Oryctolagus cuniculus: one gene and its partners. The protein of the gene in region 3 binds, or shares a complex with, the protein of the main gene of each other region. Links are inferred from orthologs where the notes say so. Each region holds a gene or a part of one and is shown on either strand. Other genes may lie near its edges. The genes, in order: PRKAB2, PRKAB1 and PRKAA1.

The links.
Region 1: the proteins of PRKAA1 (region 3) and PRKAB2 are in contact, whole or in part, in a crystal structure (PDB 4RER), measured with the Homo sapiens proteins. The link is inferred for Oryctolagus cuniculus from reciprocal best matches to the Homo sapiens genes PRKAA1 and PRKAB2. Residues at the interface, in NP_006242.5 of Homo sapiens: Gly20, Val22, Lys40, Lys42, Asn59, Arg60, Gln61, Lys62, Val69, Arg73, Val93, Ile94, Ser95, Thr96, Pro97, Ser98, Asp99, Ile100, Met145, Met175, Ser176, Asp177, Gly178, Glu179, Phe180, Arg199, Leu200, Ala202, Pro204, Glu205; in NP_005390.1 of Homo sapiens: Val80, Arg82, Ser84, Ser108, His109, Asp111, Ile115, Ser138, Asp159, Phe160, Glu161, Val162, Ala165, Leu166, Ser182, Ser184, Gly190, Gln191, Glu192, Met193, Tyr194, Ala195, Phe196, Glu199, Arg201, Lys203, Ser204, Pro205, Pro206, Ile207.
Region 2: the proteins of PRKAA1 (region 3) and PRKAB1 are in contact, whole or in part, in a crystal structure (PDB 6C9H), measured with the Homo sapiens proteins. The link is inferred for Oryctolagus cuniculus from reciprocal best matches to the Homo sapiens genes PRKAA1 and PRKAB1. Residues at the interface, in NP_006242.5 of Homo sapiens: Gly20, Val22, Lys23, Ile24, Thr32, Lys40, Lys42, Asn59, Arg60, Ile63, Arg64, Val69, Ile72, Arg73, Ile76, Gln77, Val93, Ser95, Thr96, Pro97, Ser98, Asp99, Ile100, Phe101, Met145, Met175, Ser176, Asp177, Gly178, Glu179; in NP_006244.2 of Homo sapiens: Pro79, Val81, Arg83, Leu103, Pro104, Thr106, Val113, Ile115, Asp159, Phe160, Glu161, Val162, Phe163, Ala165, Leu166, Met167, Val168, Asp169, Ser170, Gln171, Arg201, Ala202, Pro203, Pro204, Ile205, Leu206, Pro207, Pro208, His209, Leu210.

Annotation. Positions count from the first base shown.
Region 1 is NC_091438.1:50,108,625-50,118,885, reverse strand, and holds the start of PRKAB2 (5'-AMP-activated protein kinase subunit beta-2), read right to left. Parts: upstream 5,732-10,261; 5' UTR 5,333-5,731; coding exon 5,177-5,332; intron 1-5,176. UniProt on the Homo sapiens protein: Non-catalytic subunit of AMP-activated protein kinase (AMPK), an energy sensor protein kinase that plays a key role in regulating cellular energy metabolism.
Region 2 is NC_091452.1:15,720,473-15,730,708, forward strand, and holds the start of PRKAB1 (5'-AMP-activated protein kinase subunit beta-1), read left to right. Parts: upstream 1-5,124; 5' UTR 5,125-5,370; coding exon 5,371-5,529; intron 5,530-7,626; coding exon 7,627-7,790; intron 7,791-8,697; coding exon 8,698-8,791; intron 8,792-9,012; coding exon 9,013-9,127; intron 9,128-10,236. UniProt on the Homo sapiens protein: Non-catalytic subunit of AMP-activated protein kinase (AMPK), an energy sensor protein kinase that plays a key role in regulating cellular energy metabolism.
Region 3 is NC_091445.1:66,052,617-66,062,906, reverse strand, and holds the start of PRKAA1 (5'-AMP-activated protein kinase catalytic subunit alpha-1), read left to right. Parts: upstream 1-4,289; 5' UTR 4,290-4,344; coding exon 4,345-4,444; intron 4,445-10,290. UniProt on the Homo sapiens protein: Catalytic subunit of AMP-activated protein kinase (AMPK), an energy sensor protein kinase that plays a key role in regulating cellular energy metabolism.

The DNA of each region.
Region 1 (10,261 bases), on a different chromosome or scaffold from region 3:
GAGGGCCGAGCAGATGAAAGAACAGCGCAGGGTCCTGTGTCGTTCCTCCACGAAGAGGGGGAGCGACATAATGGTGCCGTGACTCGGATAGGAAGCCTAGGCAGGACTTAGTGTCGTTCCTCCACGAAGAGGGGGAGCGACAAAAACCAAGAATGGGTCCATACAAACAACAAATAATTAAATTAGCCATATGTCCTTCATAGGCAACAGCTCTCAATTAGCACTTAAAATAAAAGAAAGATACCAATAAAAGTCATAATTCATACTCTAGCTAATAAGTTACAAGGGAAAGGACAAAGTTCTTAAAGTTTGAGAAGTGGTTATGAAATCTTGCTCAACCCTGCCAGGTATACACTAATTATTTCAGAAGTAAGGGTGAAAATTCTAGAGCCTTATGGAACAAAAGATCAAAAACACAGCTTCCTTCAACAAAAGTAATTCCATCATCAAATGAGGTTTGTAGAAATCTGAAAAAAGCTAACTCCTTAGTTTCTTATTACTTCTTTCCTTTAGATTAAGAGGTGGCAAACTAGAGCCAGATGTTTTTATAAAGTCACTTTGGGAAACTGCCATGCTCATATGCCCGTTATCTACAGCTGTTTTCCACTACAGTGGCAGACTTGAATAGCTGTGACAGAGATTTTATGGTCACCCCAATTTTTCTTAAGATCTATTTATTTTATTTGAAAGGCAAAATTACAGAGAGGGAGAGGGAGAGGGAGAGAGAGAGATACCATCTGCTGGTTCACTCCCCACATGGCTGAAAAGGCCAGGGGTGAGCCAGGCTGAAGCCAGGAGCTTCATCCTGGTCTCCCATGTGGGTGCAGGGGCCAAGGACTTGGGCCATCTTCTGCTTCTTTCCCATGCATATTAGCAGGGAGGTAGATTGGAAGTGGAGCAGCTGGGTCTTGAACCAGTACCCAATACAGGATGCCAACACTGCAGGCTGTAGCTTTACCTGCTATGCCACAGTACCGGTCCCTGTCCCCAAAATTTAAAACACTTACTATCTGGCCATTTACTGAGAAAGTCTGATGACCCTCCTTACTTTTGGTTTTGGTAAATAGGCAAATAAGACTGTACAGTATTAAGTCAAAATAGTACCCATAAAATAGTATAGGTTAGGGGACAGTGTTGTGGTGTAGCAGGTAAAGTGTGATGCTGGCATCCCATAGGGGTGCCAGTTCCAGTCCCATCTGCTCTACTTCTTTTTTTTTTTTTTTTTTTTTTTTTTTGACAGAGTTAGACAGTGAGAGAGAGAGAGAGAGAGACAGAGAGAAAGGTCTTCCTTCCATTGGTTCACCCCCCAAATGGTTGTTGCCACGCTGGCGCACTGCGCTGATCCGAAGCCAGGAGCCAGGCACTTCCTCCTGGTCTCCCATGTGGGTGCAGGGCCCAAGCACTTGGGCCATCCTCCACTGTCAGAGAAGAGTCCAGAGAGCTGGACTGGAAGAGGAGCAACTGGGACAGAACCGGCGCCCTAACCGGGACTAGAACCTGGAGTGCCAGCGCCACAGCTCAGTAGGCTAATCCTCCACCTGCGGTGCCGGCCCCATCTGCTCTACTTCTTTTTTTTATGTTTTGACAGGCAGAGTGGACAGTGAGAGAGAGAGACAGAGAGAAAGGTCTTCCTTTGCCGTTGGTTCACCCTCCAATGGCCGCCGCAGCCGGCGTGCTGCGGCCAGCGCACCACGCTGATCCAATGGCAGGAGCCAGGTGCTTCTCCTGGTCTCCCATGCGGGTGCAGGGCCCAAGTACTTGGGCCATCCTCCACTGCACTCCCGGGCCACAGCAGAGAGCTGGCCTGGAAGAGGGGCAACCGGGACAGAATCCGGTGCCCCGACCGGGACTAGAACCCGGTGTGCTGGCGCCGCAAGGCGGAGGATTAGCCTAGTGAGCCAAGGCACCAGCCTATCTGCTCTACTTCTAATCAAGCTCCCTACTAATGTGTCTGGGAAAGCAGCAGAGGATGGCCCAAGTCCTTGGGCCCCTGTACCCACATGGGAGACCAGGATGAAGTTCCTGGCTTCTGGCTTCTGGCTTTGGCCTGGCCCAGCCCTGGCCATAGTGGCCATTTGGGGAGTGAACCAGCAGACGGATGATCCCTCTCGCTCTCTCTTTTCTAACTCTACCTTTAAAATAAATAATGTCTTTTAAAAAAGTAGTATGGGTTTAAAATAAACAAGACTAGCTCATTGGGGCCAGCACTGTGGGGTACCAGGTAAAGCCACCGCCTGCAGTGCCAGCATTCCCATATGGGTGCCAGTTTGAGTCCTGGCTGCTCCACTTCTGATCCACTCTCTGCTATGGCCTGGGAAAGCAGTGGGAGATGTCCCAGGTCCTTGGGGCCCTGCACCCATGTAGGAGACCCGGAAGAAGCTCCCGGCTCCTGGCTTTGGATCAGCACAGCTTCAGCCATTGTGGCCATCTGGGGAGTGAATAAGCAGATGGAAGACCTCTCCCACTCTCTCTGCCTCTCTGTAACTCTGCCCTTCAAATAAATAAATAAATCTTAAAAAAAAAAAAAAAAAAAAAAAAAAAGACTAGCTTATTCATTTGGGCATTTGTTTCAAAATGGTTGAGGTAATCTACCTTCCATATACTGCCTTTTTCAGAACTTATTTATTTATTTATTTACTATTATTTTATTTGAAAGGCAGACAGAAAGATCTCCAATCTGCTGGTTCACTCCCTAAATGCTCACAACAGCCAGGGATGACTCAGACTGATGGGGTGGGCCAGAAACTCAATCCCAGTCCACATAGGTAGAGAAAATCCGCACAGCTGGCAGGGACCCAAGTACTTGAGCCATCACCTGCTGCTACCCACAGTGCATATTAGCAGGGAACAGAGGGACTTCAACACAGACACTCCAATATGATATGGGCACCCTAAGTGGCATTCTAAAATGCTGCCCCAAACTGCTGACCCCACAGCGCCTTTTGATATTCCTCAAAACTAAGTATGAGACCCCAGTAATAGCATAATTCAGGCTTAAGAGAAAACCCCGGTCCTCATGTTCTCAAAGCAATGCCTTCCTGCCTGACTGGCTGCATCAGACTCACAGGATTTTTTTTTAACAGACCTAACAATAACTCTCAGGCTCTGAGGCAGATACAGGAGCTGGTAATCTACTTCTAAAAATCTTCCCTGATAATAACAGTGTGACTTTCTACTAAAAGCGAAAAAATCACCTTTAGCACATTATAAAATGTTATGATACAATACTCGATACAATGTCTACAATGTGCTTCAAAATACTTTGGTGAGGATACAGTGGATTGGGACTTAGATGACACATGTTCATTCATGACTTGGTCATTGTTTAAAATGGCTGACAGGTACACAGAGTTCATTATACTGTTCTTGCTACTTGGTAAAGGTTTCAGAGTCACCATAACTGAAACAAATCTCAGGTTATTCTTATGTGCAACCAGGATTAAGAACCACCCAACCAGTCTGGTGATGGAGGCAGGCACCTGGAGCCCTCTGGGCCTCCCACCACTGTTTCCGTCAGTTACTTTTATGACAGATCTTCAGTGCAGAATCTGAAAGCTATGGACTATTAATATGCCTAGCTTCGGAGGAAAGCCCTCCCACTTATGACACAACATTTCTGTGGTAGGAACGGATGCAGCCGACTGGCAGCAAGAATATTTGCTCCAAGTTAAATAGTCGGCAAAACCAACAGGAAAAGGGGCAAAACAACAGCTAGAGCCATAGTTTGGAAATAGGTGAGAAACATGTTGAGGAAAGGAGAGAGTAGATGGAGTACTACAAAATTTTTGAGTTGGATGAAACCTTAGGAATTACATAAGCCAATTTTTAAATATCACAAATGGCAAGACTGCAATGTGGGGGAAAAAATGATCCAAAATAGGCCCCAATTCAGACACAACAACCTAGCTTTTATTGAGGCCATCAAATGCTGCAGTCACAGTTTCACAACCACACTGTTCTTAAATCCTGAGTCATTAACATCAAAAAAGGGTAAAAACACAGGAGGCAGATCACGTTGGGAAAATTCTGAACAAGTAAATTCAGGTGGCTGCGGAGACAGCCCAAATGATGGGGAAGAAATTCTCAAGTTGAAAGGGAAAAAAAGCACCAGAAAAGAAATCCCAAAACAACTCCTTTCAATCACTCTCTTTTCTGTCTGTGATTCTGTTCTCAATGGGGATTCCAGAAGATAAAGAAACCACAGCATGCAAATTTCCTGTACTAGCAATGTGGCAAATAAGGATCTCTTTCTGCCCAGAGGCCCTAGTTGGACGAAAGTGATGAAGTGATAAAAACATCAGACCCTGCCATCTTTGTCTCTCCATTGTTCTATTTCACCCTACTCAGCCCAACTGGAGAAATTAAATGCATTTCATGCCGACAGTTCTAAGAGTGATTAGACACTGCTCTGGAATCATATGGCTGTCAGCGCCATCTGTCCATTCTGTAGTGTGAACGCAAGTTGGTCTTCCCAGAAGTCCTAGGAACTGAGAGCAGGCGCTTCAGAGGGGCAGCTGGGGGTGGGTGTTTTCAGCCACGGGCAACACTCTCAAGTTCTCCTGGAGAGGAGAGGGGACTGGGAATCATTTGCCCTCCCAGCAAGCAGCTGGGTGTCGGCCACCACACCAGTGCTGGACCAAGCAAAAGCAGTCAACCAAATGACGTCCTACTGATCCCAAGCCTAGGACAAAGTAGTCAAGAAGGCAAGGAGTCGCGGCTCACGGCCGTACCAAAGGGGAAGAGAATTTCAAGTGCAGAGCTCCTAGAAAGGCAAAGATGACACTGATACACAGACATTTTCAGGAAAATGAAATTCACTGAGCCACCCTCAGGGCCAATGTGAAAAACTGCCACCTCCCCTGCGAAGTTTCCCCACCCAGTTTACAATCTGCAAATTCATCAACACTCCAAGAGGGTACCCGAAACGGCGGCTGTCTATTGTCCCCATCCTTTAAAACGTGGCGGAGAGACTAGTCAGAGAATTCCGCCGCCTCGCCCTATTTTGAAGCAGCACCGTAAGAGGAATTACCATCCAACACCTTCGACTCGGAAAATCCCTTTTAATTCAAAAACCCATCACCCAGTTCAGTGTCATGAGAAGGAACCCAGCAAGGGAGGAGCCCGAAACCAAGCCGGCTGCAGCACCGCCGACGTCTTGGGGCGTGAGGCCGCTTACCTTGGAATCAGGCAGGCTGAAGACGCTGGGGTCGTCCGTGCTCCCCACCATGATCTTGTGCTCCTTGCTCGGGCCATGGCCGCCGGCACCCTCGGCGCGCGCAGCCTTGGCGCCGTGGCGCTCCCCGGACACCCGGTCGCTGGTGGTGTTTCCCATGACCGCGGCTCCAGTCGGGGGCCACCTGCCGCGGGGGCACCACACCGGGCGGGGAACACCCCAGACGCCGCGTCCGTCACCGGCGCCCCCGGCCCCGCCCCTGCGCCCGCGGACCCGGGCGAGGGAATCCCCTCCCTCCCGGCCTGCGGGAACCCCCGCAACTCCCGGGCCTCGGCGCGGCCCCGGCTCAGGGAACCGCTATGGGGACCTCCCCCGCAGCCCGCGCCGCCTGCCCCAGGGCGCCCACGCCCGTCACCACCTCCGGCGATGCGCTCCTTCTTGTCCAGGCCACCGGCGCGATGGCCGTCCCGCGGGTGACGCCACCAATAAAGTTATTGAAATTGAAGCCGCGCCCCGAGCTAGCGCCCCTGGTTTCCTCCTAAAATGGCTACAAGGCCAGCGGCGCGGGGGGCCCGCCCCGTGCGCGTTCCCTGCGGCCCGCCCGCCTCTCTAGCCGCCGCCTCGATGGTGAGCCGCGCGCCGCAGCCAGCGCCGGGCCGCGCGGGGGCACAAGGGCGGGAGGGAGGCGGCGTCCGGAACCGCCGGGGCGTGGGCTCCGTGGGAACAGGCTGCCGGGAGGACCCGCGGCGGCCGCTCCCCGGGCGTCCTCACCCCGCCTCAGGCGCCCCACAGGCGTGGTGTGCGCGGCGTCATGGCCCTGGGCGACCCGGAGAGGTGGCTTCCTACAGGGAATGAGAACGGACCTCGGCCCCGAGCAGAAGGAAGGAGTGGTTGTCCCTGGACGCGAACACTGGGTACCGGGGGAGAGAAGTCAGCCCGACTGGGGTCCCCGGGAAGAGCTCAAGATGGAGTGATCGGCCGCTAGCCCGTGAGGATTAGTGAAATGTTAGCGGAATGAACCTGTGCGGTGGGCACCCCTGGAAGAAATAACACTCCGGAGACAGAGCAGCAGCAAAACCCATCAGAAGGAACGCGGAAGGTATAATAAGGGCACAGACAGCCCTCGGGTTGGGAGGGACCCCGTTTTTGTGATCATGAATGGAGGTTCGGGGCCTTTGCGGATCCTTGCTGTGTATTATTATCTCATCCGTGTCTCGTTCCCTACTGCAAAGCTCTGTCAGCCTGGGATACTCGTGTCCGCCAGCGGCCCCGGCATCACCAGGGAGCTTGTTCGACATGCGGACTCCCGGGCCCCATTCCCACATAGGGAATCAGGCTCCGCCCTTTAACAAGACCACCTGGGACTGTGAGGAGGGTGCTTTGACAGCTGGCCTACAGCGGAACCACGTGTGATTTCTGTCTGTATTCTGCATGCACCTCGTACAAAGCTTTTTACCAAGCATTGGCAGAGTGAAGGGGACATGCATACCGTTACACGTTTCTAACAAGATATGCGACTTAGGCTTGAAAATGGCCAGTGATTGGGGACCCAAAGGCACCCCACCCATCTTTATGAGTGAGGGGCTCTATCTGTAGAGAGAGGTTTGCTTTGCCCCCTTGTAAACTCATTCTCTGGCTCTTAACCACAGACAATTTACAGAGAAAAAAGTACCATTTTACTGCAGTCTCTTGCTCACCCCTCCAAAATCTTTTTATTTATTTATTTATTTATTTATTTATTTAAAAGTCACAGTTAAGAGAGGGAGAGACAGAGATCTTCCATCCACTGGTTCACTCCCAGGAGCTAGGAGCTTCATACAGTTCTCTCACATGAGTGCTAGGGACCCAAGCACTTGGGCCATCTTCTGCTGCTTTTCCCAGTCCATTAGCAGGGAGCTGGATTGGAAGTGGGGCAGCCCGGACTCCATCCAGTGCCCAAATGGAAGCAGCTGGGACACAAACTAACACCCATAAGGGATGCCAGCATCACAGGCCGCAGCTTTACCCACTATGCCACAACGCTGGCCCCTCAACCAGCTTTCTAACAGCCCACTCCTGAGAACTAACACAGGCTGCAAGAACTAGACCAATCTCATGAGACAGATACTAATCACTCCTTAAAGCTCTACATTGCAACTAAATTTGAACGTGAATTTTGGCAAGGACAAATCATATCCAAACCAAGTCGAAAAGCCATTGGAGGGGCCAGCGCCCTGGCTCAGTAGGCTAAACCTCAGCCTGTGGCGCCGGCATCCCATATGGGTGCTGGTTCTAGCCCTGGCTGCTCCTCTTCCAACCCAGCTCTCTGCTGTGGCCTGGGAAAGCAGTAGAGGATGCCCTGGGTCCTTGGGCCCCTGCACCCACATAGGAGACTGGGAGGAGGCTCCTGGCTCCTGGCTCCGGATCGGCACAGCTCCAGCTGTTGTGGACTTTTGGGGAGTGAGCCAACAAAAAGAAGACCTCTCTCTCTGTCTCCCCCTCTTACTGTCTGTAACTCTACCTCTCAAATAAAATAAATAAAAAAACTTAAAAAATAAAAAGAAAAGCCATTGGCAAAGAATGCTGGAGTTCTACTTTAATATTCATCCTCTCTTCCTCCTTAATAATAGTACTTTGATTTTTACCTAGACCCATTGCTTCTTGGGAAAAAAAAAGATGCATTTCTTAGCTTCTCTGGTAGGTAGATATATTGACTATGTTCTTCCAATGAGATCTAAGTGGAAATATTATATTGTACTTCTGTTAAGTTTCCTTAAAAGAAAAAGGCATGTTCTTCTTCTTATAGTTCTTTTTCCTTTTGTGTAGAATGTTCATGTAATGGCTGGAACTCTAGCACCCAGTCTGGACCACAAGGTGGAAGTCAAATGGTGAGGGTAGTGGAGCAGAAAGAAGAGCTGTGGAATTGTTTTATTGTCTCAGGACTATCTACCTTCAGACGTCTTTAGATGACGGGGAAGTAAACTTCAATACTGTGTAGGCCATTGTTATTTGGGGTTTTTCTATTGTATGTGGCTGCTGTGGTTTGAGTGTGTGGCCTCAGAATTCATGTGTTGGCCCCAACGTAGCAGTGTTGGGAGATGGAGTGTCTGGTGAGAGGTGTTCGGGTCACGGTTTCCACCCTCATACATGGACTGCTGCCAGCCCAGAGAAGGGAGTGCATTTTGCCTCCCGAAGGACCGGATTAGCCGTGAGAGTGGTTTCTTCTGAAGCAGTGCCCCCGACATCTTCCGGCTGGTCTGTGCAAGCCCACTTTCCCTTCCACCTTCCACCATAGTTGAAGCAGCACAAGGCCCTCCCCAGAAGCCAAGCAGATGCTACTACCATGCTCTTTGACTTTCCAGCCTCCAGAACCGTGACCTAAGATCAACTTCTTTCCTTTACAAATTACCCAGTCTCAGATTTTTTTTGTGACAGGCAGAGTTAGACAGTGAGAGAGAGAGAGAGAGAGAAAGGTCTTCCTTTCTGTTGGTTCACCCCCCCAAATGGCCGCTACAGCTGGCGTGCTGTGCTGATCTGAAGCCAGGAGTCAGGTGCTTCTCCTGATCTCCCACGCAGGTGCAGGGCCCAAGGACCTGGGCCATCTTCCACTGCCTTCCCGGGCCACAGCAGAGAGCTGGACTGGAAGAGGAGCAACTGGGACAGAATCCGGTGCCCCAACCAGGACTAGAACCCGGGGTGCCGGTGCCGCAGGTGGAGGATTAGCCAAGTCAGCCGTGGTGCCGGCCTAGTCTCAGATATTTTGTTATTGCAACAGAAAATGAGCTGAGACGGTAGCAGAACCTACTCGTAATCAATTGGATGGGTGAGAGTATGACCTACATAGGTATTAAAATCAAAGGCAGCAGTAGTTATGCATTTGGAGAGAGTTTTGTGCTCAAATCTTCACCAAAGGAGGGCAATAAACAGGTCTATAAACAGGCAGTGAGTGCTTCAAAGGAGCTGAGGAGTTCGAGAAAGCCAGGAGAAACAGCAAGAGGATTAAGCTGCCTGAAGATCAAAGAGAACATGTACCCCACCTCCTTTCTTGTGTTAAGATCCAGCCAGTGCTGTGGCTGAGCAGGTGAAGCCGTGTCGCATCCCATATGGGCACTGGTTTGCATCCCGGCTGTCTCACTTCCAATCCAGCTCCCTACTAATACACCTGAGGAAGCAGCGGAGGATGGCCCAAGTCCCTGGGTCCCTGCACCAACATGGGAGACCTGGATGAAGATCCTGGCTCCTGGCTTTGGCCTGGCGCAGCTCTGGCTGTTGTGGCTATTTTGGGAGTGAACCAGCAGATAGAAGACCTTCTCTCTCTGCCTCTACTTCTCCGTAATTCTGACTTTCCAATAAGTAAATCTTTAAAAATAAAAAAAAAAATCATGACTTACTAAGTCCTTTGTGCAAAAAAAAAATAAATAAATAAAAATAAATAAAAACATGATCTATCACTTGTGTTTCAAACCACAGCACAATAGAAAAAATATGCAGACTCAGATTAGTGGTCTAGTCGAGAGAATTTTTTGGAAGAACATGCTTGTCCCTAAGCCATTTCAAAATGTTAAGCAGCCCATAATCTCCTTAATCACTTTTCATAAAATTATTATTCACTGTTTAATCACTAAAAACTCATTTCTCTACTCCCATGTTGAATTTATTCATTCAATTAATCATTAATTTACTGAGGTCTTACTATGTTACAGGCTGTATATTAGGTATTAGGAATACAGAGATTAATTATAAAGTATCTTCCTCCCAGAATTTTACAAGTGCAAGGAAGAAACAGATGAGGGAGCCAATTTTTATTCATAGTGTAAAAGGCTGCCCATAAACTATAATTGAGATTATACCACCTGTAATGAAAGCCCAAAGGAAGTTCACCTATTTTATATTAGGGATCAGGAGGGTATTCCTGGAAGAGATAATAGTTGAACTGAGTCTTGATACGGGGGTTAGCCAGCTGGGCAAGTGGAGGATCTACCCAGAGGAGAGTACAGTGAGAATATGTACAGTAGCACAGACAACACGGCACTTGGGGAAATTCCAAGTAAGCAGTGGGAAGCACTTTTATATTATATTACTTTAGTAATAGCAAAAGTAACAGGGCAC
Region 2 (10,236 bases), on a different chromosome or scaffold from region 3:
AACAGGGTATTTGGAGACAAGGGAACTGGAAATCTAGGACAAGTTGTGAGAGACTTTGGTTTTTGTTCTATGTGCCCTATGCTGCTTAAAGATTTTACTTTGTCCATTCATACTTGAAAAAATCATTTATTTCATTTTTTTGGAAAACCACGGGACTATTTTCATTGCTCTTTATCGCCACCTAGGGGGTGCTAGGGGCATGATCACAGTCATGGTTGTTAATTCTGCACCACTTTTTTTTTTTTTTTTTTTTTAAAGCCCACCTTCTGGCTTTTGTGTATTACACCAAACAAGTCATGGCCTCTTATTTTCAGATATTTACTGAGTTTGGCAACAAAAGAAACATGGATCTTATGTAGCTGTAAAGTCAACAGATGTGAAAATAAATACCTCGTTTGAACTCCCTCCCTCAGTGACTGTTCCAGCTTTATCATCTACAGCAGCCTGATCCATCAGCTCGCCCCTCGCCCCGTGACCTGTCCATGTTGCCAAAAGACCTCTACAGAAGTCTGGTTTCCTGCATTCGCGTGCCGGTTCCATGACTGGCTAGCTGTGTGACCTATGAAAGTCACTGCATCTCTCTGAGCTTCAGCTGCTAACAGTAGATCCCTCAAAGACTATAGGAGGGGCCGGCGCCATGGTGCAATAGGTTAATCCTCTGCCTGCGGCACCAACATCCCATACAGGCGCCGATTCTAGTCCCAGCTGCTCCTCTTCCAATCCAGCTCTCTGCTGTGGCCTGGGGAAGCAGTAGAAGATGGCCCAAGTCCTTGGGCCCCTGCACCCACATGGGAGACCAGGAAGAAGCACCTGGCTTCTGGCTTCAGATCAGTGCAGCTCTGGCCATTGCGGCCATTTGGGGAGTGAACCAATGGAAGGAAGACCTTTCTCTCTGTCTCTCCCTCTCCCTGTCTGTAACTCTACCTCTCAAATAAATAAATAAAAATCTTAAAAAAAAAAAAAAAAGATTATGGGAGGCTATTTGCCTGCTATTTGTCTACACTTCTGAGATTTGCAAGTCTGCATTTTTACAACCAGTTGAATTCTACAACAACCCATGTCCCATTTGTATGGTATTATAAAATTTGCAATATCAGTGATCCCATGATTTAGATAATGTTATTCCCATATATAAACCCTTCCATGAATCCCCATTCACTTTAAACAAAATGCAGAATGTTCACTAATGGCCAGCAAGGCCCAGTGGGCCAGCAAGCCTTAGGGTTGGTGTGGATTTGAAAGCAGAGCTGAGCTGGGCTCCTGTCAATGGCTGTGGTGAACAGTCCTGATTTGTTTTGGGGAAAATATATGGCATCTTATCATTTGCCCTGATTCCAGATTAAGACCAGCAAGCAGATGACACCTGGACATTTGTCCTCCCCAGCCATCCCCACCCCAGCTTCCAAGACAGAGTGGTTGGACTCCCACCAGCAGAGAATTAGGGAAAGAAGAGGCATTTCCGGTGCTTGGAAGAAGCATGAACCGTTGTTAAATAAATAACAGAAAGTGACCCACGCGAGACCTAGCTGGGGCCTAAGGAAGGAAATACTTGTGATTAGAGTCCACCCCACCGTGATTTTCAGTATGGGACCAATAGCGGATACCAGTTTGTCCACGAGATTTTAATACAATATGGCAAGACTCTCCCATAAGCAGCTGCACAGACCTCCTGTCTTCAACTTTATACCTTTGAGATCTCCCTCGGTGTGTGTCAGGTCGGTTTTAAGGGGGCTGGCACTGTGGCATAGTGGGCCGGGCCTCCCCCTGAGGCTCCAGAATCCCATAGGTGCTGGTTGTGTCTCAGCTGCCCTTCTTGTGATCCAGCTCCCTGCTATGGCCTGGGGGGAGGGGGGCATAGAGGATGGGCCAAGTGCTTGGTCCCTGCACCCACATGGGAGACCCGGAAGGAGCTCCTGGCTCCTGGCTACAGATCAGCCTGGCTCTGGTCCTTGTGGCCAGTTGGGGAGCAAATCAGCAAACGGAAGATCTCTCTTTGTCTCTCCCTCTCTCTCTGTCTGTAACTCTGCCTCTTTAATAAATAAAATCTTTTAAAAAAATCACAATGTAGTTTTATAAACCAGACTGTTCCACAACATACACTTCAAAATCTGGAAAAATTTATCTACCTGCTTTTATGTAACAACAAATAGAAAAAAAAAATGCTCACTGGAGCTGGTGTTGTGGCATAGCAGGTAAAAGCCAACACCTATGATGCCAGTATCCCATATGGGTGCCGGTTCGAGACCCAGCTGCTCCACTTCTGATCCAGCTCCTGGCTAATGCTCCTGGGAAAGCAGCAGAAGATGGCCCAAGTGCTTGGGCCCTTGCACCCATGTGGGAAACCTGGAAGAAGCTCCTGACTCCTGGCTCCTGGTTCCTGGCTTCAGCCTGGCCCAGCCCTGGCTGTTGCAGCCATTTGAGGAGTGAACCAGTGGGTGAAAGACCTCTGTGTGTGTGTGTGTGTGTGTGTGTGTCCCTCTCTCTGTGTCTGTGCCTTTCAAATATATAAATAAATAATTTTTTAAAGTGCTCTATAAAGAAACATTGAGCACAGAGAAGACCCCACTATTCCTTCTGGAAGTCTCAGGGTGGTTTCCAGGGTTCGACTGCGTGGACTGCGCTGTCTGGCAGGCTCTCTGCTCCAGCGACTCTGTTGCTCCTGTTCAGATGCTCCTGTTGCACAGAGGCCATGGCCACTGCAGGTGCACCCAGTGCATTCGTACCAGTTAGAAGAAAGGTGCTCACGCCTCCAGGTACACGGTCTGACGAATGGAGCCCGGGGGAACTCGCAGGGCCCATTTGCCCCCTACAGCCTCAGGCACTGGGCGGTCCCCTTGGCTGGGAACCACTGACAACACCCTCAGGATGTCATTTGCGGTGTTGGGCATCAGGGGCTCATGCATTCGCTATTATCTTACCCAAGCCAGAGCAGACATCTTGAAACTCCCTCACGCATCAGGGCATCTGCATAGCCCAGATAAGACGTGCTGTTTGAGAAAAACCCAAAACTCCACTTGTGCATGGCTTCCTCACTGCCTACGGTAGCAAGGCAGGACCAGGAACAGACAGCTCACAGCACACATTCTGTGTGTCACCCCCACTACCTTGGCTGATTCAATTCAGCGAGCACATCCAACATTCTTACAGGAAGTACACTCAGTCTCACAGCCATCCGCTTCAGGAGCCCTTGGGGGCTCCCCGTCCCTGGCCTGGCTTGCGTCCCACTGGGGCTCCCGTAGAATCCCTCGCCCTCCTCCACTAACTGACTTTCTACCAGTCTGTTCCCACCTATACTCTAGTGGCTTCTCTGGGGCTGAAACTATGTCTTACTTTTGTTTTTTTTAAGATTGCTTCTAAATTGAAAAAGTCAGACATCCTCACAGCAGAAAAAAAAAAAAAATCAAACAACACATAGGGGTATAAACTAAAGAATGAGAGGTGCCCTCCCATCTGGTCCTGTTTCCAAAGGAACCGCTATTAACAATGCATTGTAAACCATCCCAGGAGTTTCCATGTGCAAGCATAATGCTAACAATTACTGCATGTTTACGAACACTCAGATGCCGTGCTAAGCATATTTGTGCATATTGCCCACTGACTCACAACAGGAGCCTGTAAGATGAGGGTTATTTTTATTCCTCATACTGCAAAAGAGGCCTAGGTGACAGTAAGTATAAAGCCACATGTTTAACCCAAGAGGTTGGCATCAGAGCCCATGTCCCTAACTCCTGTTCTGTCTCAGACCCTCTCCCCAGGTAACCCCTTTCCATCCCTTTCCTTTTTAAAACATGGTGCAGTATTCTACAAAATGACTGTTTAATCCACTTAGCCATTTCCCCACTAACAAACGTTCCAGATTGGTCAGGCTGTCATTTCGTTATTTCTTCGTATCTAAGATGGCACCAATTCTAAGAAATATCCAATTTCAAGAGATTAGAATGTAAAAAAATTAATAATGTTTAATGTAAAAAAAAAATAATGTGCCTCTTACACTTACTATGCTCTCAGAGCTGGTGTGGCCAATGAACCGGCTCAGCTATAGTTCCTTGTGTGATATTTCTGTAGATGGGTTCCCAGCGGTAAAATCGGAAAAACGAAGGTGCTTTTTTCTTTATTATTATTATTTTGAGAGAAGCTGCCCACTCTAGAAGACTTCGTCTTGATCATCTGTGTTTCCCATTTCCTTGCCACAACATCGGGACTTTGTAGGTACTAAACAGATGTTCAGTGAACAAAACGCACAACCAGGTCCGGTGAGGTATTGTGTGAAATATACAAAAAACAAAAATAAGGCAATGAGATTAGAATATTGAAGGGTCATACGTGCATACTCTTTGCTGACCCACGTTCTGTAGTAAATGACAAATGCTAATCATGCCTTTGCAAAATTACTCATCAAAAACCTACGCACTGGGGCCGTCATTGTGGAGTAGAGGATAAAGACGCTGCCTGCAATACTGGCATCCCATGCGGGCACCGGTTCTCGTCTGGGCTGCTCCACTTCCCACCCAGCTCCCTACTAATGGCCTGGGAAAAGCAGCAGAGGATGGCCCAAGTCCTTGGGCCCCTCCACCCACGTGGGTGACTGGGATGACGCCCCTGGCTCCTGGCTTTGGCCTGGCCCAGCCCTGGCCATTGTGGCCACCTGAGGAGTGACCAACGGATGGCAGATCTCTTTCTCTGCCCCCCCCCATCTGACTTTCAAATAAATAAATAAATCTGTAAAAGCCTACGCACTGAATTTAATAAAAGTTCTCTTTTGTAGCCCTCGAGCTACTAGAAGGAAGAAACTTCTAGCAAAATGAGTCTAATGCATCCTAAAGCGTTAACAGCCACGGCACCAAGGGGCTTTAAGCAAAGGGCGGTTTCTTAATCAGACTTTTGCACCTTTAGCCGTACAGGGTGGCACCAGAGAAGGCGGCCTAGTACATCCATTGGCATCGCTCTCTCCAGCGCAGGTAGAGTGGCCCAGGCCGCCGGTGCACTGGTGCGCCCCCTGCCGGCCCTCCACGGCCTCACGCTGGGTCGGGCCCCCCGTGCGGCCGACTGCGACTGCGCGGCTCTGAAGCCCACGGAAGCCAGCCATCGCCGGAAGCGGAAGTGACGACGAGTTAGCCCCGGGCTGCGCCCGCCACAGCCTCCCCCGTTGTGGGGCGGAGTCGCCGGAAGCGGAAGTGGCTGAGGGGTTGGGGGAGTTGTCAGGATAGTGCCGGCTAATCTTCCCGCTTGTAAGGTCCGGGCGCAGGGGAGGCGCGACTGCGAAACCTCGCGCAGCCTGGCGATCCCGCTCCAGGCACCTCCCGACCCTTCCCCGGACTCGTGGGGAGTGCCACCCGGCTCGGCTTCCCCGTGGCCCCGCAGACCCCCGCCATGGGCAACACGAGCAGTGAGCGCGCCGCGCTGGAGCGGCACGGCGGCCACAAGACGCCCCGCAGGGACAGCTCGGGGGGCGCCAAGGACGGGGACAGGCCCAAGATCCTGATGGACGGCCCCGAGGACGCCGACCTCTTCCACTCGGAGGAGATCAAGGTGCGCGGCTCGGGGGGCGCGGGCAGGGGGGCGCGGCCCCGAGGGAGGGGGCCGCTCCCTTGGCGCTGCACCGCAGGCCGCTCGGGGGACAGTTTCCAGCTCCTAATTAATTCAGGGCGTCGCGCCGGCGGGAAGTGAGCCCCGGCCGGCCGCGTTTCTCCCAGGTGTAATTAGTCTCACGGCTTCGGGAAGTCCTGCGTGCCCCGCAGGCAGCCCGGCCCGTCGTAGGAGTGGGTCTGGGGGCTGTGCGGTCCGCTTTGGGGAGGTGGGGGGGGGGCGTGGATCAGGGCACACGTGGAAGCAGAAGGAAGAACGGCCGGGCGCAGGCCCCGGCGGCGTCCGGCGGTGGAACGCGGGCTCTGGGAGGTGGCGGTGGGTGGGCGCCCTTGTGTTGTGTCTGGGATTCAGTATTGGAAGCGGGCCAAAGCACACCTCTTGGCAGGCCGCATCGGATCCCCTGGGACGGTCTGCTTTGTGACGAGCCCAGCGGGTCCTCCTCTCCCACCAAAGCCATGATCCTGTCCATCGCCTGAGAACTCATTCCTTAAAGGGACGGAGTAGAGAGGATGAAGGGGACCCTGTTAGTATGCACCTGCACACGATTGACTCACTTTTTCCCTCCATTGTTGGGCTGGGTGCTGACACCGTCTCACACCCTCAGATCTTAGTTGGGGGTCTGACTAGGAAGATCTGCTGTTACCTGGCCCTCCATCCTGTGCTTGGACCTTGTTTCCTGAACTTGTTGCATTTCCAGAAAGCTGCCTGCAACCTGAACTTTGGAACCGTGTTGACTTAACGTCCCTTCCCCCAGAAGTACACGGGACCCCAGCAAGGCTATTGAAGACACCATAGCTTTGTGCCAGAAGTGCTGGTGTTGCGGTCCACCTGTGTAGCAGATCTGGGGAGCATACATTGTAACTGCCTGGAATCATGCAGCAGATTTAACCACACCTGTTCACCGTGGGGGCTGTGGGCGTCACATCCTCCCTGCACTGTGGTTCTGGTCTGGCATTCTTTAACCCACAGGTCTTGTTAGAATTCCGTAGACACATGCATCTTGCAGATAAGCTCAGGCGCCAAAGGCCTGCTGGACGCCCCAAAAGCCTGTCCCCTCCTCCAGCTACTGCCCTTTGAAAAGGTCTTGGCGTCTGGCCAGGAAACTTTGTTTAAACATCCTTTATTTATTTCTCCCAGAGCTGGATGTGTTTATGTCTCTCTTAGGCCAGAACACTTCAGTTACACAACACTTACACTGGACGTTACACTTCATCGTAATGTCTTATTTAGTATCTCTTCTCACCAGCACCAGGACAATGTTCCTGCCAGTGAATAGTCTTTCCCTTCCTCAAAGTCTGGATCTGCCGATTTTCAAACTGACCGGTTCTGGAATGATCCCTCACTTATGTTCACATAGTTCCAGTCTTGTTTAACGAAGGGAGGAAAATGACGTTTATTAAGCAGTTTTCCAAGCATATCTGATACTTTCCCCTGGAGTTCTAATGCAGAGCTCCTTTTTAAAAAAGAAAAGTTCTTTATCTGAAAGGCTGAGAGAGAGCTTCCGTCCTCTGGTTTATTCCCAAATGGCTGCAACGGCCTGATTTGGGCCAGGCCCAAGCCAGGAGCCAGAAGCTCCATCCAGGTCTGCCAGATGGGTGGCAGGGGCCCGAGTACTTGGGCCACCCTCTGCCGCCTTGCCCGGCGCATTAGCAGGGAGCTGGACTAGAGGCAGAGCAGTGGGCCTGTGGAGTGGAGCCAGTGCTCAGGTACGGGACGCCACATGGATCCACCGTGTCACGGGCAGCGGCTAACACGGTGCCCCACTGCGCCAGCCCCACAGGTGGCCTCTCTGCTAGTGAGGGACACAGTGCTGGGTAGGAGGCGCTTCCACACGTCCTGTCGGTCACTCGGCAGGACATTTCCACGTGGACTGTCCGCCTCAGTCTTCCCAACAACCTTAGGAATGTTTTCATCTCCGTGGTGCTGGTGGGGAAACTGAGGCACAGCCAGCCGACTACAGGGTCATGGCAGCGCCTCTTCAGGCTGCACTGGCCGGGAGCTCATTGACCTCCTATCCCGCGACACCCGCTCTGCTTCCAGGCCCCCGAGAAGGAGGAGTTCCTGGCCTGGCAGCACGATCTGGAGGTGAACGACAAAGCCCCCGCCCAGGCCCGGCCGACGGTGTTCCGGTGGACGGGAGGCGGGAAGGAAGTGTACCTCTCTGGGTCCTTCAACAACTGGAGCAAGCTGCCCCTCACCAGAAGGTAACGCCGGGCGCTGCCTGCGTGTGCCGGGAGCCGAGACATGGCTGCAGGCGACCAGGAAAGGGCACGAGGAGGAGAAACCCTCCTCACGGCCTCACAGGGGTGACTCCCACAGCGCCTGTGCTGGAGGACCCGCCCGCTGGCGTCCCAGACATCACCTGGCGGGGTGGGCGGAGCGCTGGGCTGGGAGCGAGGGCCGCAGGCACAGCCTGCTGGCTGGGCTGGGAGTTTGCAGCAGGGGATCCCTGTGGTCCCTTCCGACTTTGGGTCCCAGGATCGCATCTCGTTTGGAAGGTAGGGGCCGCGCGGGCCTCGTCAGCAGGTGTGACGCGTTCCCAGGAACCTGGCCCGGACTCCTGTCTCAGGTTGTCCTGAGAACGCGTCAGCGTTGCTGAGCGCTGGGGATGAGGTGCCCGGCTGGGTCCTCCTGGTTGTCGCCCGGGGCCGCGTGCGTCTGTCAGCAGCCCGAGTCAGGAGCAACGCTGGGTGACGCTAGTGCCCTGGGACCTTTTTTAATTTTTTTAGTAGTTTTGCAAGTTTCTTTAGAGAATGTTTATGTCCTATTAAATCGATCCCCTCTCCCGCCCGAGGCAAATAGCACAAAGCAAAACGAGACAGCTTCCTGTTTACCTTGTGTCGCCGTCCTGGGCGTCCAGGGCCGCCACGCTGGAGAACGCGAGTGCCTGTTTGTTGACCTTTTGGGTCAGGAGCGTGGGTTCCTAGTATTTGAGCAGAGCGAGTTTCCCGGGAGGCCCGTGCTGCCGCTGCCTCCCAGCCTCTGCGGCGCCCTGCAGCTCGGCTCTGGGCTTCCCGCGCAGCCTTCTGGTGTCGTTCCGCGGCTGGTTTGACAAGGGAGCCTTGGAGTGGCCCAGGCAGGTGAAAAGCTCTGGTTCCTTTTTCCTTGCAGCCACAATAACTTTGTAGCCATCCTGGATCTGCCAGAAGGAGAGCATCAGTACAAGTTCTTTGTGGATGGGCAGTGGACACACGACCCTTCGGAGGTACCCTTCCTCTCCAGCGCGCCCCCTTCCCCAGGGCTCGCGGGCGGGTTCCTTTGCCCCATACAAAACGTGCCCGTGTGGTCTGGGCTAGGCAGCAGAGCCGCTGTCAGACTGCGGGCCCGTGTGACCGGGACGAGCAGGGTGGCCAGCCAGGAACCCCAAGTCCTCGGCAGAGTGACTCACAGCCCTCCCCTCATGATTCTGCCTCTGTCTCTCCCCAGCCAGTAGTGACCAGCCAGCTTGGCACGGTTAACAACGTCATTCAGGTGAAGAAGACGGACTTCGAAGTATTTGATGCTTTAATGGTGGACTCCCAAAAGTGCTCCGATGTGTCTGGTACGAACACAGCCGCTCTATCCCACACGCGCGCGTGGGGCTCTGCGGGCTCCAGATGTGCTTCCTGGCTCCGGCTCTTGTGTGTAGCTCCCTGCGGAACCCCAGACTCACCCCTGACTCTGGCAAGTCAGGTTGTTGAAATTTGCCCCCTCGGGAGCTGTAAGTCATGGCACAGGTCTTCTCAGACATGCGGGGGGTCTGTCTCGCCCCAGACAGCAGGTAATGGAACAGGACCAGAGCTTGCACTCATGCCAGGGGCAGCGCCGAGGAGGCCCTGGAGAGAGACGTGGGGTCGGTGAGGAGCCAGCGCTGGTAGGCCTGCCGGCTCACTTCCCGCCTGCGCTGCCTGGAGGACTGCAGCCTGACAGGTGATAAGCGGACACCTCAGTGATCGTGGCCATCACCTGTGTGCTCCATTAGCACCTGCCAGGCCCCCTGACAAGGGCCGAGGCGGCTCACAGGAAGCAGGCTACACAGCACTCCTTCCAGGAGCCTGCTCGACACACTCCTGGCAGAACTTGCCCACCTCCCAGGAGTCTGAAGCCTTGAGGGGTAGATGAATTGCTTTCTACCCAGCCCCCCGGAAGGAACTACCCAGGCTCTGTCAAGTTCAATTCAGGGTCAGCGCTCCCTGTCCTTTCGGGGGGGGGGGGGGGACGCTGTGGACGGTGCCCGGATCCCACAGGAGGCCGTGAAAAGGCTCCCCAGGGTGCGTCTGGCAGTCACAGGTGACAGGTTCAGGTAGTTGATAGGACGCCTCTCGTTGCTCAGCTGGGCCCGGAGGTTCTGCCACCAGGATCTCTCAGCGTCACCAGCGGCTGACAGGTCAGGCTGCCAAGTGGGACCTCGGGATTCAAAAGTAGGTTGTTTTATCCGGATCACTAACTAATCTTCTAGAGAGCTGAGTTGCTTTTGTTTTTCACATAGATAGGAATCCGGGGAGGGAGAGAATCCAAACACCCTCCCACCTGCTGGTGACTCTAAACATCAGGCTGCTGTGCCCATCACAGCTGGGTGGGAACACGGCCCCTCGCTGCTGCCGAGCCAATGGAGGCTCTCATTGGGCACCTTCCTGATGCTCCGTCTGTACTCCTCCCGGCTCTTCTCAG
Region 3 (10,290 bases):
AAAGCATTTACTTCATATCTTTTCATGGCTTATCAGTCTCTACAAGATAAAAGACCAAACTGAAAAGCACCTATGGGGCCTTTCAGCATTTTGTTCCTGTTTGTCTCCCATTTTTTAACAAGCCCCTCTGGGCCAACACTCTGGTGCAACAGTTTAAGCTACTGTCTGCAGTGCTGGCATCTTGTATGGGCACCAGTCTGGGTCTTGATATATACCTCTCTGTCTCTCCTTTTTAAAAATTTTTAAAAAATTTTAAAAGATTTATTTATTTGAAAGGCAGAGTGACAGAGAGGCAGAGGCAGAGAGAGAGTGAGAGGTCTTCTATCCACTGGTTCACTCCCTAGTTGGCTGCAATGGCAGGAGCTGTGTCCATCTGAAGCCAGGAGCTTCTTCCCACGTGGGTGCTGAAGCCCAAGGACTTGGGCCATCTTCCATTGCTTTCCCAGGCCATAGCAGAGAGCTGGATCAGAAGTGGAGCAGCTAGGACTTGAATTGGCACCCATATGGGATGCACTGCAGACAGCGGCTACCCACTACTCCACAGCTCACTAGGCTAATCCTCCGCCTTGCGGTGCTGGCACACTGGGTTCTAGTCCCGGTCGGGGCGCCGGATTCTGTCCCGGTTGCTCCTCTTCCAGGTCAGCTCTCTGCTGTGGCCAGGGAGTGCAGTGGAGGATGGCCCAAGTGCTTGGGCCCTGCACCCCATGGGAGACCAGGATAAGTACCTGACTCCTGCCATCGGATCAGTGCGGTGCGCTGGCCGCAGCGCGTCAGCTGTGGCGGCCATTGGAGCGTGAACCAACGGCAAGAAAGAAGACCTTTCTCTCTGTCTCTCCTCACTATCCCACTATCCACTCTGCCTGTCCAAAAACAAACAAGCAAACAAACAAACAAAAACAGGTCCCTATACATCTAGAATCCATCCTCTGTAACCATTAGCTCTTCCCCAACCCAAGTAAGATTTACTTCTCCTGTGGTTTTTTCATATTCTCTTCTTCTACCTGGGATACCTTTCCCCATTTCTGCCTATTTCCCACACCACCCTTTTGCTTAAGTAGAAAATCTCTCTTAATATTCCTTTATTAACACACTCAAATCAAAGCCTTCACAGACCTCTACAGAGAAAGGTTACACCCTCCTCTCATGATGCTTTTTAGGACCATATATATATTTTTATTATAGCACCTGTTATATTGCTTTGTTTGCCACTGGAAGGCAGACACTGTGTTCCTTTGTTTAAGTCCCCAGTGTTTAGCAAGCTGTCTGATATATAGCTATTGTTTAATAAAGATAGATGTTAGTTATAAAGTAACTACAACTAGGCTAAGGAAATGTTAGGTTATATTAAGAACAGTATAATATACAGAATTTTTAGCCCTGGACATCATATGTAGAGACTGACATTGACAAAGTTTAATATCCACTTGATAGTCTAGAGTCTAATAACATTGTGATGACCCTGAGAAGAAAAGACCAACAGGAGAACATGCACTACAGAGCTAGAAAGGAGAGAGCTGACAATTAACTACCTTGTCCTCCACGAGACCAGAGGTTCCTAATCTTAGCGCTGAGTCACCCGGGTATGTCTTCATCAGGGCCGAGAGGTCCCATCACTTATCTGTACTAAAAAAAACTCACCCCCTAAAGGTGGTAAACAATTTACTTTTTTTTCCTTCTCTTAAACTAGAGTGGATTCAGGTTACTTCTATAATGTCACCCCTGCCCACCTATATTCCAATATACTATGGTGAGACAGAGATAGAATTACCACTGATAGGCTCAGAAACTGTGTGTAAGCCCCAGTTTACCTTATCTTTGCTCCCATCCTGGTTGGTTGAGAGGGTGGCTATTTAAAGAACGGTCACTAAAGACCCTGGCTTTTCACTTTTTTTAAAAAATGGAACTTGCCACAGTGTCTGATAGTAAACAAAACTGTGAAAGAAGAGAGAAGGTTTGGGGATGAATTCATGGGGGAAAATGAAAGGAAGAGACCAAAATTTAAAAAAGGAATGAAGGAAAAAAAAAAGCAAAGGAATACAGGAGACTTATTATTTTAGAAACTGTTAATTGGATTAAACATAAAAACAACAAAACCCCAAAATATCAGGCAGTTAATGCTGCTTAAACTGAGACTAAAGGAACTGGATAAGATGACCTCTAAAATTCCTACCCAATATTTGAATCTATGATTTGAGGCTTTTTATTTCCCCATCAATGCTTTTAAGTGGAAATGACATCTAATCACTATTTGTTAAATTGCATTATAATCTACAATAACATAAAGTAGAAACAAACTGATGTCCCTGCTTAAAAAAAATGTTTCCTTTTTGAATCTTCATGGTTTCACAAGGAGATTGGCAAACAGATTTGCCAGACTCAGGGTCAGTTTCCTCCTTTTCAAGAAGTTTAGTGGCTTAACTGACACAGAGCTGAGGTATCTTGTGATCTTTTTCTTTCATGTTAAATGAAATAGTAGAACTCTGCTGGGCTAAATTCTAGACATGATGCAAATTTAATGTAACTTAAGGTGTTATTACAGGGGCTGGCATTGTGGCAAAACAGGGTAAGTCACAACCTGTGATGCCAGCATCCCACATGAATGGTAATTTGAGTCCTGACTCTCCACTTCCAATCTATCTCCTGACTAATGTGCTTGGGAAACCAGGGGAAGGTGATCAAAGTGCTTGGACCCCTGCCACCCACATGAGACCCAGATGGAGTTCCAGGATCCTGGCTTTGGCCTGGGCAAGCTGTTGCCAGGGTTTGGGGAGTGAATCAGTAGATGGAAGATCTTCCTCTCTTTCCAGGTCTGCTAAGCTTAAAGGCAGGGATTTTCATTTCCCTTGCAATAGGATCTTTCGAACAAAACAGTCCTTAATACGTGCTACTTTGGTTTCTTAACAAAAAGAGGAGACAATCAGGACAGTTGGGTAACTTTCAGCTCATAACACTATTATTTAATTTCTCAATGAATTGATATACTGTCAGTAGGGCTAGTTTCTACCAAGAGAGTGACAATTACACTGCTTACAGACTCTCTACCCCAGCTTCAAAAGTGAAGAAAGTGCAGAGGGAAGCAGCAAGAGACAGTCCTGGCCCAAGGTCAACAGGCTAAACTTGGTGATGGCCTTCTTGCTGGCAGCATCTAGAGGCAGCCTGCACATATATTTTGGGAGCCAGAGAGAAAGCAAGTGGGAGATGGGAGAGTTTTAGAGGTAATTTATTTTTGTTGGAAAGGAAAATGATGACATTTCTTAGTTTTATACTTTCTTATACTCTTTTCATGAAGAGTCCAACTTTTTACCCATTGACACTGGTCCAAATGCTATGACACGGCAAAACCGAGAGCATATAAACTTTTTTTCTTTCTTTTTTGGATGACACATTTGACTTTGCCTACTGTTGGAGGCATGTGATAATTCTCCGTGGAATTCAGTAACAAACTTACTGAAAAATTATATTACAAATAAGCACACTTTACTTTCTCTGTGACATAGTATGGTTTCATCTACACAGACAATAAAGTTTTATTCCTTGCACATACAATAAATGGTCGATGTAACTGTAAACGTTATCGTCAGTCCCGTGATAGTGTGCATTTTACTGATAATCTAAACATAGTAATTCCTGTACAGCGAAAGGGCAGGGTAGCATCGCTTTCTGCCTGATAAGCATACAACCCCACAGGTGCCCAGCCTCCCTCTTCCTTAAGGAAAGCATCCAGGAGAAAACACCGACAAGCCTGCTTGAACTGCCCAATGGTAACTTATGGCTCACAGCGAAGTAAGAGCGATGCAGGGGAAAGTCCGAGAGGCAAATGAACACTCCCTGTGGCACCTGGACCCCGTCTGGGAAGGAAAGGTGATAATCAGGGAGGAGCCCCCTGCCATGGTTCAGTTCACGCTGCACAAGTAAAAGAGCCACGATCTGCACCACCCCAGAGGGCTTCCCAGGGCCCATCGCCCCTCCCCGGAATCTCAAGGAGAACGGCGCCCCCGCCCCGCACAGAAGCGGTTATCAGTGGCGCCCACTGCCCGAGAAAGGGCGGAGGGGCTACCGCCCTCCTGGACTACCCGGGAAGCTGGGCGGGTGCCGAGCCCGAAAGGATGCGGGGCGACCAAGGGGACTGGGGGGCCCCTGCCAGCGACCGCAGCCCGCCCCGCCCGGGGGAGCGGCGGCTCCAGGTGGCCAGGCCCGGGCGGCGCGCGCGGGGCGGCGGCTCGGCCCCGCAGCTGCTCGCCCGCGTCCCCACCCCCTCGCCGCCCGCCCGCCCCCGGCGCGGCCCTGCCCGCCCCCTCCGCCCCCTCCCGCGGCGCCGTGCGCAGACTCAGTGTCTGGAGGAAGATGGCGACAGCCGAGAAGCAGAAACACGACGGGCGGGTGAAGATCGGCCACTACATCCTGGGGGACACGCTGGGGGTCGGCACCTTCGGCAAAGTGAAGGGTGAGGACCCCAGGGGAAGGGTTTGGCCCCGGCCCGGGAGCCGCGGGACTCCCGCGTTTCGCACCTCTTCCTCCTCCCGGTCCTCCCTGTCCCTAGATTCCCGGGCTCGGCAGACCCTCTCCGGGCTCTGTTCGGAGCCGTGCCCGAAGCTACCGAGCGAAGTGGGCGCTGCTCCCTTTGCGGGTGGGAGTAGGGTGGGGACCAGTCGCCATGGCGACGGCGCTGCGGTCGGTGCGAGGGAGGAGATGCCGAGGTGCGAACTTTCCCAGGTGGCGGCGTCCGGAGCTGCCCCGCGCGCTAGGTCTGCAGCGTGGGGTCCCGGGGGTCTCGGCCAGGAGGCGGGGGAGGCGGCCTCCTGTCCGGCTGGTTGTGCTCTTGGCTCCACGCCAGCCCATCGCTTTCCTGGCGGTCCTCCGCCTTGTCCGTATTTCCGTCTTCAGCAGGCTAGGGAAAGCATAACGGCCCCTGCTGTTTCCTGAGCATGAGAGATGTTCTCCCAGTTGAGGTTGCTTTGAGTATAGCCTGAATAATTTTTTTTTTAAATCCATTTCGTCCGAAAAGATGACTGACCTTGTGTAAAGCAGTTAAGGGGAGCTGGTGCGACCCTTGGTTTACCTTACAAATGCAGACTCCCGACCTTCAGTGTTTCTGAATTACCGGTTTTGCAGTATCTGCATGCTGAACCTGGTAGGCTACTGTAGATGTTGCCTCTAGATAATATTTATTAATTAGTAGAGTTCGTTTCCTTTTATTTTGGGAAGATATTTATTTTTAATGTTTAGAAATTGATTTTTATTTACTTGGAAGACAGAGACAGACACATAGGTCTTCCATCTGGTGGTTCACGCTGCAAATACCCAAAATAGCTGAGGCTGGGGCCGGGCCAGGCAGAAGACAGGAGCTGGGAACTCAAGCAGGGTTTCCCTCTTGTGTGGCAAGGACCCAAATACCTGGGCCATCAGTTGCTGCCTCCCAGGGTGCACATGCACAGGAAACTGGAGTTGGAATTGGAACAAGAGACAAACCTAGAGACCTGGTGAGATGCAGGTGTTCTAAGTAGTGTCTTAACAAAACCCTGTCCACAATATATTTACATTTAATAAACAGATTAGTGCACACTGTTTAAACTTTTTTGTTAAGTGTGGAACTTAGTATCTCTCTCTTTTAAAGATTTATTTATTTATTTCAAAGAGTTACAGAGAGAGGTCTTTCATTCCCTGGTTAACTCCCCAATTGGCTGCAACGACCCGGGCTGTGCTGATCTGAAGCCAGGAGGCAGGAGCTTCTTCTGGGTCTCCCATGTGGGTGCAGAGGCCCAAGCACTTGGGCCATCTTGGACTGCTTTCCCAGGCCACAGCAGAGAGCTGCATTGGAAGTGGAGCAGCCGGGTCTCAAACCGGCACCCATGTGGGATGCTGGTGCTGCAGGCCAGAGTGTTAACCCCGCTGTGCCACAGTGCCAGCCCTGGAACTTCTTACCTTTATGAAAAGCATGAATATTCTGCAAGTAATAAACTTGCTCTCTAATCCAATCCTGATATAAAAAGTTTAAATTGCAAATTTTGTGAGGCATACATTCTTTTTCCTTACAAATATGACTTTGTTATTAGGGATGTGGAGGAAGTTTGGAACTGATAAGAATAATTATTGCATTGGCATTGGATAAATAAGAAGCCTTTGACTAGTATATACTAAGTTTTTGGTAAATATTTGATCTGGAAGAAAAGGTTTATGAAAGAGTATACAGTAAATTAACTGAGCCTTGTTCTGCCAGAGCTAAGTTAACATCCTCCCGGCCCCCCCTCCCCAATTTATTTATTTTCATTTTTTGAAAGTGAAAGATCTTGATCATCCATCCAATGATTCACTCCCTGAATGGCTACGACAGCCATGTCTGGGCCAAGCTGAAGCCAGGTGCCATAACTTAGTCTTTGTCTTCCATGTGAATAGCAGGGACCTGATATTTAGATCCATTACATGCTGCTTCCCAGGGTGTGCATTAGCCTGAGCTGGAATTGGAAAGGCAGCTGGGACTCAAACCAAGGCACTTGACATGGATGTGGGGCATCCCAAATAACGTCTTAGCTGATGAGCCAAGTGCGTGCCTCTGTTGCCGATTCTGAGCCATAGGTGTGGAATATTGTTGTATAACCCATGGGGATGGGCATTAACCAACAAGGTCAGTAGTATAATAAAGTAAGGAGCAAACTCCAATATGGAGTAGTAACAGCCATTAAGGTGGGTCTACATTAGGACAGTAACATGTTTCTGTTTTCTTGAAGTTTGTTTTTTTTTTTTTTCTGTGCTGTTTCTTGTTAGTGATTATAAACAGGTTTTTAGTTTGCCAGTAGTTGTAAGAAATGCTCAGTAATGTCTCTGAAATAGTGAAAGAGACTTTGTTGATGTCCTCACCCCTTTCTCAAAATTCTTTTTTGATTGGGATGTTCATCATTCTGCTAAAAAAGACCTGAACAGAGTCAAGTCTGTTTTCCTATTTGTTAATTGGCTTTTGGCACAGTAGATGGAGAAGGAATAGACATCTTCTGTTTTCTGGAGTTGATCTTTTGTGATGTGGCTGTGATGTGAATCTCTTCAGTGACTCTGCTGTTCCTTAAACTTCTCCCTGCAAATGTGCCTCTCATGAAGTGCCATAGTCTGTCCAATATAACAACCTCCCCAAATATAGAAGGACCAAAATGATAGCAAAAAGATCACAGATTTCATGGATATGGCTAAATATTTTTATAAGCATGTTAGTTGAGGGGCTGGCACTGTGACGTAGCTGGTTAAGCCACTGCCTGCAGTGTCAGCATCTCACATGGGTGCCAGTTTGAGCTGCTCTACTTCCAATCCAGTTCCCTGCTAATGCATCTGGGAAAACAAGAGGAAGATGGCCCAAGTGTTTGGGTCCCTTGCACCCATGTAGGAGACCCGGAAGTCTGGCCCAGCTCTAGCCTATGAGGCCATTTGGGGAGTGAACCAGTGGATAAAAGATCTCTCTTTCTCTGCCTCTCCCTCTCAGTTACTCTGCTTTTCAAATAAATAAATAAATCTTTTGAAAAAAGTTAGTTTATATATGTCATGATCTTTACCTAGTTAGTTTTTTTTAAGATATTAAACACTTGGGATACTTTTTGTCACAAGGAATAGAAAAATCCAACTCAGAGTAAGCACAACTATCTCTGGTTCTCTCAGAGCAAGGAAGGCTTGTGTACCTCTCTTGCTGGTTGGTCAGTGATACTATGTGCCATTTGACTTAGGCTTGTGTTCTTAAGCAGGCACTAGAAAGGGAGATAACATTACCTTTGGAAGATGATGGCCAACCCTTGGATGTGTATGTGTGTCATCTTCCAAAATACTTTTTTAGTGTAGGGGGGCAGGCAGGATAGGCACCTACACAGCAATAAGTATTGTTAGAGTTAAGATCAGAGAAAATTGGGATATAGATGCTTTATGAGTAGGCAAAACAGCCTGATTTTGACAAAAATTCTTTGCTATAACAGGATTAGCAATATAGTTAAGTCAAGACAATTTGGAATAGGTAGTTTTGAAATTAGTTATATTCATTGGTAAACTCAACATAGAAAAGGAATCTCATGGAATACGTAATATTGATAGGCAGAAAAACTCCCAGTATGATATTCCATGCTGATAGGAAATTTAATTTGGGAGAGAAGGTTGCTATAAATTCATAGTGATTTATTTTGTTTTCTGTTGCAAGCTAAAATATTTATTTGGTTGTTTGATGATAGCATTTTGGGAGGAAAGTTTAAACAAAAAACTATTAATTTGAGATTATACTTGAATTATGTTTTAAAAAAGATTTATTTAGGGGCCGGAATGGTGGTGCAGCATGTTAAACTGCTGCCTGCAATGCCAGCATCCTATATGGGCTACAATTCTAGTCCCAGTTGCTCTACTTCTGTTCCAGCTCCTGGCTAATGTGCCTGCGAAAGTAGTGGAGGATTGCCTCGAGGGCCACTTGTCATGCAGCTCGACAAGGCTAATGTGAAGTGTCAGAGGAATTCCACAGAACCATGATAGTCTTTTTAATATAATTTTTTGTTCGGTATCACTCAACATATATATTCAGTGCACACATTTAAGGGTCAGTACCACTCAATATATATATCATTAGTCCACAGATCATAACACATCTAGGAGTAAGACGATCTCTAAAAATATCCAGCAATAGTAATAAGTATGAAGCATAAAAAGCATAATCAATCTAAACACTCATGGCTAAGGGTGTATATGAATGCTGCATTCAGAGTCCAGAGTCCAAAGTCTTCGTTACCACTTGGAGAGCTGGATCTCAGAAGTCACTTACGGGCAGTGGTCGTGGAATGACTGGCACTCTGGGCAGTAGGCTCAGAGTTCCAAGTCGGATGGTGAGGTGAAGGGTTGGAGAGGTCACCGATGAGAAGTCCAGTCCGGTTCCAATGTCAGCTTCAGCAGCGGCTGGAACGTCCAGGCGAGGTTGGATCCAGTGGAGTAGTGAGCAGAGTTTCAGCCAGCAAAGACACAGGCAAAGTTTCAGCAGGATGTGGTGGATCTACTTGATCATCACTCGCATTGAGCCATGGTCCCTGAAGGGAAGCAGAGCAGTGGTGAGGCTAGCCTCTTTAGCCTCCTTCTAGAGTAGGTGGGCCGTGAGTGTGCTCTGGGGTGTCACCAATCACCGGCTCATCCTTTTTAGGTGTCACCAACCAGATGTTGGTGTTAGGGTGTGACCAATGGTGTGTTAAGTGTCTTCTGGGTGTGGCCAATCATGGTGCAGTAGTGTCGGTGAAGTAATGTTGTAGCCAGCTTTTATTTTATTTATTTATTTGACAGATTTAGACAGTGAGAGAGAGAGACAGAGAGAAAGGTCTTCCTTCCAGTGGTTCACCCCTGAAATGGCCACTATGGCCGGAGCTACGCCAATCCTAAGCCAGGAGCCACGTGCTTCCTCCTGGTCTCCCATGTGGATGCAGGGGCCCAAGCACTTGGGCCATCCTCCACTGCCCTCCCGGGCCACAGCAGAGAGCTGGACTGGAAGAGGAGCAACCGGGACTGGAACCCGGCGCCCATATGGATGCCTGTACCGAAGGCAGAGGATTAACCAAGTGAGCCATGGCGCCGGCTCCGGTTGGCTGCTTCTTATGATGTAATGTCCTCCTGTCCATATCAGGCTTCACCACCTGTGTCTGTTTCTGACAGATGGTCTGGGCAGTTCCTGGTGCTTAGTGGCCTTAGCTTAAGTAACTCCGTTTTTGTTCTGCTTAGTAGCATTAACTTAAGTAACTCCATTTTGGTTTTGCTTTTTCTCTTTCTTTTTGGGTTAGAGGTGCTCTGTAACTCTTGTGGGACTCCAGTGTGATTACCCACAACGATCACCCAGGTACTTGAGCCCCTGCAACCATGTGGGAGACCTGGAAGAAGCTCCTGGCTCCTGGCTTTGGCTTGGCCTGGCCCCAGCTATTTAGGGAATGAATCAGAAGATGGAAGACCAGGCACTGTATCTCTCCCTCTCTCTATATGTAGTTCTGCCTTTCAGATAAATAAATCTTAAAAGATTTTTTTATCTTAAAAGATTTATTTATCTGAAAGGCAGAGTTACAGGGAGCAAGAGAGAAAGATCTTCCTTCTGCTGGCTCACTCCCCAAAGGGCCACAACAACTGGGGCCAGGCCAGGCAGAAGCCAGGAGCCTGGAACTCCATCTGGATCTCCTATATGGGTGGCAGGAGCCCAAGCATTTGGGCCATCTTCTGCTGCTTTCCCAGGCACATTAAGGAGCTGGAGTGAACCAGATGAAAGAAGCTTTGAATATCCTCTCTGTCTCTCCTTCCTCTCTCTGTCACTCT